Linked DNA regions of Schizosaccharomyces pombe. The protein of the gene in region 2 interacts with the protein of the main gene of each other region in a pairwise test. Each region holds a gene or a part of one and is shown on either strand. Other genes may lie near its edges.

The links.
Region 1: the proteins of tef5 (region 2) and hpt1 interact in a two-hybrid assay, tested with the Schizosaccharomyces pombe proteins (one large-scale study listed by BioGRID).
Region 3: the proteins of tef5 (region 2) and SPOM_SPCC1183.02 interact in a two-hybrid assay, tested with the Schizosaccharomyces pombe proteins (one large-scale study listed by BioGRID).

The regions. Positions count from the first base shown.
Region 1 is NC_003424.3:2,154,840-2,158,409, forward strand, and holds hpt1 (xanthine phosphoribosyltransferase), read right to left. Parts: upstream 1,679-3,570; 5' UTR 1,618-1,678; coding exon 1,484-1,617; intron 1,210-1,483; coding exon 723-1,209; 3' UTR 535-722; downstream 1-534. Other genes in the region: hcn1 (anaphase-promoting complex TPR lobe accessory factor subunit Hcn1/Apc12), read left to right, coding at 1-198. UniProt on the Schizosaccharomyces pombe protein: Converts guanine to guanosine monophosphate, and hypoxanthine to inosine monophosphate. Transfers the 5-phosphoribosyl group from 5-phosphoribosylpyrophosphate onto the purine.
Region 2 is NC_003421.2:1,730,779-1,734,347, reverse strand, and holds tef5 (translation elongation factor EF-1 beta subunit, guanyl-nucleotide exchange factor (eEF1B)), read right to left. Parts: upstream 1,598-3,569; 5' UTR 1,575-1,597; coding exon 1,495-1,574; exon of another isoform or gene 1,354-1,494; intron 1,248-1,353; coding exon 683-1,247; 3' UTR 501-682; downstream 1-500. Other genes in the region: ribonucleoprotein complex protein Utp502, read right to left, coding at 2,197-2,919.
Region 3 is NC_003421.2:593,096-596,684, reverse strand, and holds SPOM_SPCC1183.02 (glutathione S-transferase), read right to left. Parts: upstream 1,663-3,589; 5' UTR 1,626-1,662; coding exon 1,473-1,625; exon of another isoform or gene 1,336-1,472; intron 1,235-1,335; exon of another isoform or gene 1,193-1,234; coding exon 683-1,192; 3' UTR 631-682; downstream 1-630. Other genes in the region: fxn1 (frataxin), read left to right, coding at 1-18, 173-317; exocyst complex subunit Sec15, read right to left, coding at 2,250-2,343, 2,395-3,589. UniProt on the Schizosaccharomyces pombe protein: Involved in the oxidative stress response and detoxification.

The DNA.
Region 1 (3,570 bases), on a different chromosome or scaffold from region 2:
GTTCTTGCATATGACGAAGAAAAGCTAAGACAAACGCTTGATTCCGAGTCAACAACAGAAGAAGCATTGCAGAAAAACGAAGAGTCAACACGTTTATCGCCTGAAAAGAAGAAAATTATTCGTGAAAGAAGGATTGGAATTACTCAAATATTTGATTCTTCAATGCATCCTTCCCAAGGTGGAGCCGCTCAATCATAGACCGTGAAACTAAATCATAATTAAATCATCAAATAATCGTTAGCCCACATTTTTTCGATTTGCACTGTTTTGTTAGCATTTCACACCTGCCTCCATACTGCTGATCTTTACATATAACTATTTTAATCGGCCATCATAATATGGACTACACTGTCTATGTTAATTTAATTAGTAAGATATACATCGATTGATAGAACAGTGAAGTTTTCGTTAAACAATGACCAGTCTCATTAACTTTAATCTTGCATACATTTATCCTAATGCTTCACTCCATCAATTATTCAACTTAAATTCTTACCCATATCAAATTGTCAAGCTATTTCATTTCTATTGTTACCAAGAGTATTTATAAAGGTTATTCGCAAAATTTATCAAATCTATATATGTATATGCATGTCGACAAAAAAAAAAGTGGGCTTTAGGAAAGAGGTGAAGGCGTGTGGATCAAATAGATAGTTTGCGAATTAATAATTAAGAGTAAATTCGAAAAGCTCACTATAGTTTACAAAACACGAGACTCCAATCTATGGCTTCAAATCCCCCATTTTTGCAACATGACTGTCATGCTCCTCAATGTCTTGAGCTTCCCAAGGATACATGATCCAGCAGTCGGGAGTATTGCAACCAGTAAAGTAATATTTATCCAAAATCTCCTTATCCAATTGAGCATTTTTTGGTTTAACCTTATTATGGACAACAAAAATACCAAATGTGGTCTTCTCTCCTTCACGGTTAAGCTTCTTAGCTTGCTCGGCAACATCTCTTTGAAGCTCGCGAAGAGCATAATGGAGAGTGGTACGAGTATCATCTACCTCGTCAACAATTAGAATGTTCTTGCCAACGAGATCAACCATTCCAAGAGTACTAAAATCAAGCCATTGAGTTCGCTTAACTTCAAGCCCAGGAACTTCTTCAGGGGAATCAGAAACAAGCTCTTCATACAGGCTGAGACCAATGGCTTGAATGGGAATATTTTTGCTTCCTTTTTTCTTAAGGAAAGTACGAAGGATTCTGTTATATTAGCAAATGTTAACCATATGAAGATAAGAAGAGCAAGGAATTTGAATGCACCACGATGGATTCTTGGGCTCAATTGAAAATGCAGGTAAACGATGCGTCCTTTTGAAAAGATCATACATAAAAGCCTTAAAATCCTTATCGTGGATAAGCATTGTTAAAATCAATCATTTGTGAAATCACAAAGATGCTGCCATTCAAATTTTAACGCAGTAGGCCGTTATAGGAAGCGCTTCTTCCTGTTATCTTCTTTATTTGTTCAACTTACCTAGCCGGAATGAATCCACCACCTCCAATGGCTATAATCACATCAGGACGAAAGGTTTCCAAAATTTTTTCTGCCTGTTGAGCACACATCTTATGAATGTCATTGTAGCTGTAATAAAGACGAACGGGATCCATAATAACTTAAGAACAAAATGAAACAACCAAAAAATGAAGGGAACGATAAAGGTGTAAACGTGAACGGGGGAAATACGTTCTTTTGATATTTATGTACTTTTGACAATTTAAGCGTTCCTTAAGGTAATCTCGTTAAATTACTGATAGGAAAAAGTCACTAACCCTACCCTCTATGGTGGTTAGTTAGGGATATTCTAACACCGACCAGACGGTGTCTAGCAAAGAATATGATGTTTAAAACGATTTCAGTTATCTATGAAGGCCATTACATATGTAAATGTTCTTTATATTGATTTTCTAGATGTTTAATACTTTTCAAAACCCATCATTTCGTTGTTAAAAATATATTAAAAGGTATATCAGCTAGCATGTCTGATAAGATTTATTATATGTATATAATGCTTTAGGTTTCAATTTTACTGTTTACTTTTTGTATAATTATAGCAAAATTAATATAGCTCAATTTTTGCCTGGGCAATTAACTGCGGTACATTACTCAAATGTACTCGTAACAAGAAAGGTTTTGGATTATTCAGTGCCGTTTGAAGAACCGATGCAGTCAGTCATCACATAGGTGTCTCATCCGAAGCCTCGTAGTTCTGGGAAGGATTAGACGCATTACCTAAAAAACGGTACAAGGGGGATTGTACAAGTAGATAGTGCAGCGAATTTGTAAATATCTAATCACTTGTAACCAGCCAAAAAGTAGATAACGCAGCATACGTAGTAAATATCGAGACACATGCTTACTTCAATCTTACACTAACTGGTGATTTTTAGATATGGTGGAGACCATGAGTTATTGATAAATGAACTATTTATTTGTCATTTGAGAATGAAAAGAAGGAAATATAATGAACAGGATGATTGAGAATGTTCTTATTCTTTTTGTTTTATTAATAATCATGTATATATATATATATATATATAAAAATTTTTTTAAAAGAAAACCCTCTGACATCAGGCTTTCATTCAAAACATTAACAATGCTGCTATGTTGACAGTATAATTATGAAAAGCTCTTCAACATCACTAGATTTTCCTTTTAGAAAGAGTTTTATTTTCGAAGCATTTCTTTTTTGTATGCATTCACTCATAATATTAAAATTACTTGATATATTTAGCTTATTACTAGCGAAATCTGGGGAGAGAGAATGCTCGTTTATGAACGAAGATCATAAAACATTGTAAGTTTTGAGAACAAACCACTGCTATAAACAACAAATAGAAAGACCTTTTTAATATATTTTATGGCGTTTAATCAAATTATTAAGCAAACCCAGTAATAGCTAAAAATAGTTGAAACATCTAGGATCATTTTCAATTCCTTATTTATTTACTTCTAAACAGCCGTTCGGCCAAGTTTCTGTGAGCTACAAGAAATGATGGTATCTTTCAATAAACAATGATTGGCGTTGCATAAAGCAAGCGTATGAATGGAATATTGAGCTATTAAAAATAATATAAATATGCAATTTCAAACGTTTTCGGCTTTTAAAAGTGGAACGTGGCACATTTAATCAACGTAAATCATTTTTTTTTTACCTATAGAAGTTTACCCAAAAATTGATACCAAGTATTAGCTTTATTAACTAATTACTTTTGGTAAAGCGGTAGAACCTATTCGACGAAATATCAATCAAATTACCAAGTACGATCTTGTCGCTCACTCATTACCCAAAAAATCATAGAAAGGACGATCCAAATATGTGTGCATATTGCTTATAATTAACTCGTTTATTACTGCGATACTCTGTAATTCGTTGTATCTGATTACGAATAATAATAGTCACTTTTACGATATCAATTATTATCAGATAAATATTTTCGATCGCAAAATTTGATCTTCTAACTATTTTGACTAATTTGTGCGTTTATTCTTAACACCGAATTGAAAGAAAATTTCAAAAGGTAGTCTTTGTTAGTTCCTTTTGTGGTAAACGCGATTAGTGG
Region 2 (3,569 bases):
TACTTAAATTCTTTTTCTCATCTACTGTTTAATGTATTCTTAACGTTGTTAACTGAATCATATTAACTTATGTTCTATATGTTGCTAGTTGTTTTATTCATTTTAGTAATACATTTTCAAAGTTATTTTTCTTCATATACATTTCATCGTAAAGAGTATTTTCTAAATAATACCCAATTTTGAGAAGTGTAAAACAATTGTCGAAATAGTAAAAATATGAGTTGATCTACGCAGGACTGTTGCAAAGAACCGCAGCATAAAAAAATGGTATTGGATCATCCAAATTAAACAGATTGTTTCACTTACTGCCCATACATTACAGTCATCAATCGTAAATACCCGACTGGGCTTTAGAGACGTAATTTCAGTATTCATGATTGATGCAAAAAAAATAACTTGTCATACATTTCTATGTCAATTACCATTGCTTGAATTGCATAAAATACACCGTTCGAACCCCATATTTCTTAATTATACAGATTTACACGCTTACAACACGATTGAGGTAAAAAAATCGTACTTTATGAAACAATCGATAGATATAAACCAAAAACAAATTTAATTATTTGCTTTCCCATATCCACACATTCCCCTCTAACATTAGAATATAGAGGAGAAGATCCTTTTGTAATTCCTAAGGACCTCCCTGATAAACGGAAGAACGCTTTAGTTGTAAAACAACTTACAACTTGGACATAGCGGCGATATCGGTAGATTGGACGTAATCTTCGAAACCCTCAAGCTCCTCTTGAAGAGCTTCCAAGGAAACCTTGTCGTCCTCAACAACCAAGTTAATTTGGAACTTGTTGACACCGAAACCAACGGGAACAAGTTTGGAAAGACCCCAAACAAGACCGTCCATTTGAATGCTACGAACGGCCTTCTCCAATTCGTCCATAGGGGTTTCATCATCCCAAGGCTTAACATCCAAGGTGACAAGAGACTTGTGAACGGCCTTGGGTTTAGCAGCCTTCTTCTTGTTGTATTCGGCAACACGCTCGGCCTTAATGCGCTCAGCTTCAGGATCCTCCTCTTCGTCAGAGCCAAAGAGATCGATCTCATCTTCTTCAGCGGCAGCAGCACCCTCAGGACCATAGGCAGAAACCTCCTTGGCGGTACCAGGAAGAGTGGCAAGGTCATAAGTGGCAATTTGCTTGTACCAACGAGCACCGTTGGGGTACTTGGCAGTATCAGGAGCAACGCCAACAGCCTTAAAGACTACAGCATCAGCTTGGCTAGGCTCATATCTATAAAACGTTAGAAAGGATTTGGTAATTAAAAAACATCAAGCTCAGTGAAAAGATACAAACAAAGCATTTTCACGTTTTTTGTTAAAAGACGGCTATCGTGTCTAATTGAGAGGGCTTTAAAAAATAGTCTTTGCACTTGTAGATATGCCATAGGGAACTTTTAACAAAGGAAAAAAAATACGATTTGTGATCAAATGGTATTTCACTATTATTTTGATGCATTTTCCGCACAAAAATGACTTACCCTTCAATGAAAGACTTGTCAAGCAAGAAGTCGTTAAGTTGCTTAAGACCAGCGTCAGAGGTGAGATCAGAAAAACCCATTTTTAAAGTAGTTGGTTGTTGGCAGAAAATTTTAGAGTAGTTTGTCAAGAGTTATGGAGGTTTTACTTATGTTAATAAATTAATATTATTTCAATTTTTTTGTTAATATATACAGCACTACACTAATTGATATTGGATACAATGAAAAAAATATTGCGCTATTACAAAATATCAAAAATTGTCTTAACATTTGATATTCGAGAAGATGAAAAGAAATGTAGAACTATAAATTTGTTGAGCAAACCAACAAATGGCTTCATGATTAAATTATGGGCATACTTTCGAATGAACACGCTAAATATACGATACGACTGCAGGTTAGTCACACAATCTACAAATACTTACAAACTTGGTTTGTTTATATACATGTATGGTGTATCCATATTATTTATGTATAGATTAAAACTAAGTAAAAACAATTTCCGAATTCCAACACGTACCCATAAAACGATAAAGCGTCATTCTCATGGCACCAAATATTAATATCCAAGGAACCAATAAAATATAAAGGAAAAAAAGTAGAGCTTTGTAAATTGATCAAGACACTCTATTTATTATGATCAAAAGAAAACAGAAGTTATGCAAAAGGAATGATTTTTTTCTTACAGAGGTATTCCCGATTTTACCGAGATTTGCGACTAGTTTTTCTTGGGCTTTCGGGGACAACAAATTTAGGTAGAATTTGTTTTTCCACCTCTTGTTCCTCTTCTTCAGAAAGCATTTCATCTTCCGGGATGACAAAGTCATGATCAATGTGACTTTTTCTAGGTGATAATTCTGCATTTGGCGACAAAGAAGCTTCCAAATTGCTTTCATCAAACGCATCGGCATTTGCTTCCAAATCATTGTCCATGTCATCATTTTCTGCTTCATCAACTACCTCTATATCGTAGCCTGCTTCATCCACATCCTCATCGATGTAATCGTTTTCCTCCTCTTCTTCTCCATCTTCACTCGAAAAATCAAGTCGACGTTGCCTCATCTCTTCCTGAGATAAAACCATATTTAATTTTCCGGACAAAGAAAAAATTTTAGTCATTAAATGAGCACTTTGTACAAGCTTTTCATGTAACTGAACAAGTGAATCCTGCAAATCCATGACGGTGGTCAAATATCCACCATGTGTAACAATAATCCAATGCAACCAAATCGCAAGGGATGGCTGCATATTTATCAACATGGCTGGGATTAAAGTTCTAGCTAAATCAGCCGCAATAGTACCATCCATATTGCGAACAGTGTTGGATACAACACCAACATCAGAGCAATTCAAGCATTGCTCCAGCAAATCTTTCGAATCTGCATTTTCTTCAAATTTGATAATATTACCGGTTGTGGCAGCCATGGTTGCCTTTCTACCGCAATTTTACCTCCAACTGGTGGTGGGTTGAGGATAGAAATTTGGTGAATACAAACTGTGCACTACTCTCAAAATTTTACTCTCGTACAATTCGAACTTCGCTACTTTAGCAATATTCCAATAATTTGATAAATGAAGAAATTATAGATTACACTTTGTTAAGCCATATTAAACACATGTACAAAAAAGAACAAGACTAATCTAATAATGTATAAAGGGAATTTGTATTATACAGCGACCTATCGGGTGTTAAAAAGAAAAGACGAAAGAGTGACATGAAAAAAATCTCGCTTGACAAACAGACATCTCAAACAGGGTTTATAAATGGCTATATTACAGCTAGAAACCTTCCAAAAAAAAAAAGGACCACAATAATAGAAACTCCCGAAGCAAAAAAAAAATCATTAATGACTTTCATATGCAAATTTAAAAAACTCAAAAGTATCGTTGTTGAAGAAGATACGAAAGTAGTGAATAGCAATTAGGGAAAGGAAAAATTCAAAGTCGTAAGGAAGTCTTCAAGATTGATTGCCTCACAATGAATGCCATTAAATAAGAGAAGCTCGTATATACATCATAAGTTTTCAATCACCATCTAAAACTTCTCAGGCGATGCAAAAACCCAAAGCTTGCGC
Region 3 (3,589 bases), 1.1 Mb from region 2:
GCTTTCATCCCCAGTAAGGTAGGTACAGTCAGCTATTGCCAAACATGTTTCCTATAGTATCGAGTGCTTAAAGGAAATTTTTAGTCTTAGTATAATTATGACCTTAAGTCCCATTATATTAGACTAGCATCCAAGTTTAGTCTTGTTAGAATCGGTACTAACCTAAAACCAGTGGTCCCAAACATTATGAATATTCTCTCAAATCAAAAACTTGGTGTTCAACCCGTGATGAAGGGACTCTACTAGGAATCTTATCGAGCGAATTCAGTAAATGGTTTTCGCGACCCATTGAGTTCAAAAAGTCCGAAGATTTTTAGAGGTGACCAATATGAAACTTACGATGAGCTTGTCTTAAAAGTTGAACAACAAAATCCCAAATTAAACAAAAAATTACAATTTATTTTATAAAAGTAATTTTACTTACTTCATTAGAAGAGTCTTTGTAAATCTCAGAATCTTAAAAATTTAAAAGTATAGCTCATCACAATGATGATGGTTTGCTCTAAAGGTTTGTGAGCAATCTATTTTGAAATATACTTAAGCTATTAATAAAAGAGATTAGTTACATTTCCATAGCTTCTCTTTTTCTTTCAATCTTCTATCTTAAATCACGCGTTTGTGAAAGAACGCATTTTATTGGAGTTATATAAAATAGTAGCAGGAGCATCAGCGCTAAATCTCTTTACTTCTTGGCCACAGTAACGGTCAAAGGCAACTCCAAGGGAAAATATGTTTCAAGTTTTGCTTGATGAAACATAGTTATATAATATCTAGTTAAATGAGGAAGCTCCTTGCGTGTTTTTTCATCAATAATGGAATTGAAGAATATACGAAGTAAACTTCCAAAAAATAAATCGGCGAGGGTGAAGCGATCCCCTACAAGATATGTACGATCCTTAACAAGTTCGTTGGGAATCTTCAAGCTATCGATTGCTCTGGTGGCAGATTCCTTGAAAGGCTTCTCCTCGTAAGGGATGTTACCACGGAACATACCAACCCAAGGGCGGACATTTTGAGGCGTTACGATGTCAAAGTTAATGAAGCACATCCACTTTAACATCTCAGCTTCTTCAACCTCATTGACAGGACCAAGTCCTTCCTTGTCATTGTGCTTTCCCTTTTCATAGAAATATTTAACAATGGCAATAACTTCAGATAATTCAAAGCCATCAGCACCAATGAAGACAGGGAGCTAGTAATTAATTAGTCAATATTACCCTAAAAAGTTATGCGTAAAATAAGTACGGTGAACGAATATTAGCATGTCACATTTCAAATCAAATGTCGAATTTTAATAATTTGTAAACAGTGTTTTGGCATTTATATGAAGTAAGCCACAATTGGAAACAGACTTGCAAAACGTTATAAAACCCTCCACTTATTAAACCACGGTAAAATCCTACAGATTCCAATACACGACATCCGACTTATATTGCCAAAAATTTTTTTAAATTAAATTTATAATTACATACCTTTTGGAGAGGAAACTTTGCAGCCAAATCTGCAGAGAATTTATGAGGATAAGTCTCAACAAGATCAACTTGGAGATCAAGGAGTTTAGCCAACTCCAAAAGGCAAACAGTTCTCGTATTAGTTTTGAAAGAATATAATGTGCCCAAAAACATGATGATATATTTCGAAAATGAATTGAGGTTGGTTTGTGGAGAGTGAGTCGCTGGCCTGAAAACACATATAGCAACAATATAAATGAGATGAAAGAAGAGAATTCTAGGTTTGTAAAAAATGGACTTTTTACAACAATAAATTAACATCTACAGAAAAATAAATCAATTAGGGGTTCAAATGTAAAAATTACGAGAACGAGCTTTGTACAATGGAAAAAGGCAATTGGTAAGCATAACGACCTATACTTTTTCTCAAGTAAATTAATTCTCTATCTTTCGCATTGATTGAACAAAATAAAGATCATTACTGGTATTGCAAGCAATATACTGCTAGCTTCCATCAATAGCTTAGGTACATTAATGTTTTTTGGGTCATGGGACAGGTGTTTGTAGTGAGTTCAGTTAAGGTCTCAAAAAAAGGAGAAATTAAACGAAATTAAAAGGTTTCCTCCTCTAAGGCTTAAATGAACACTCATCCGCATTGCTCATATAAAAAAGTGAAAGTAAAGAACCATCAGCTGGACAAAATATGAAATGAGTCAAATGAGTGAAATAGATAGTTAATTAATTCCCCGAAAACACATTTAACTATATCAATAAATGAAATTATCGTTGAAGGATCTGCTATCTTTTCTTCAAAGTAGCTATTAAAATTTCAATGGCCCTTCGCTTTGGTCGATCATTGCTAAGGGGATTAGCAGAATAATTATTAATATGCCTGCACAAAAGGTTAGTAAAATTATCTTGTAAACATGCGGGAATATTATACCTCTCTAAAAACTTGATAGCAACCGCTGGTTGCAATCTATTGAAGTCTCTCATAAACTTATCCGTATCCAAATACTCCTCCATATTATCTCCTAGCAGCAGATTTGCGCATTGTCGTAACTCTATAAAACTGTCGGCATTAACAATGCTTTGATCAGGTACTTGAGCTGCAAAACTTTCTAAATACTCAACGTCCAATTTGAAACCCTCGGCGGCAGCAGTCGTAACTTTTCGAATAGATGGATCTGACAACAAATCAACCATAGCAGTGCAAAGATGATCAAGAGTCTCCAAATACACGTACGACTTGTCATGCTTTGGAAGACCTGCAAGCGATTCAAGATACATGGTTTGGAGATATGTAACCATTTCTTGCAAATATCCACTAACATCCTTTCGGACCTGAGTAGTCGTCCAATCGTACTCTGCCAAGCCGAGAAAGTCGTCGATTTTTAAATTTATTTTAACAAAAATTTCGTGAAGTGCAGACTTTCGTGCATTCGCTAAACCTTCAAGTAATTCAGTTGATTTAACATTATTACTAGAAGAGGCTTCCGCACCAATCTGGTGTATAGGCTTATTTAAAACGAGGCTTTTCTCTATTTGTAACAAAGGATCTTCAAATGCGTAAAAGTTTTTAACAAGTTGAGACATTTGAGAAAGTGCAAGTTTTGGATATAAACTCTTCAATCTATCAACAAGGCTTCGAAGAATAAACCTTCTATAGAATCGTGGTGCCTTTTCATTAACTTCGGTAGCCAATATGACAGAATCATTTAAGAACATGAAGAAATGACGGACAAATTTAGAAAGAGTTGTGCAACATAGTGGGCACATCTTTGAAAAGCTCATTGTTCTTGGGAAGGGTTCAGAGGGGAAGTTCCAATAGGGCGCTATATAATGGTCATATTCCTCCTGTGTCTCAACGATCATGGGAGCATACACATCCTTTTCAAACGCCTCTTCAAAGAACACAGAATGCTTCAATATAAGGGCTCCACCAAAAGCATCAATAAGCTCGACACATAAGTTCCGCAAACTTTCAACGGAAAACCCAAATCTCTCCATGGTATGCATAAGCAAAACAATTTGATTTTTCAGTTTTATTATTGTAGTGGTACTTTGCTCTGTAAACGCAACACTTAAAATTGTTTCGACCAACTTTTCACAAATAATAGTCCAAATGTTTTGAACTT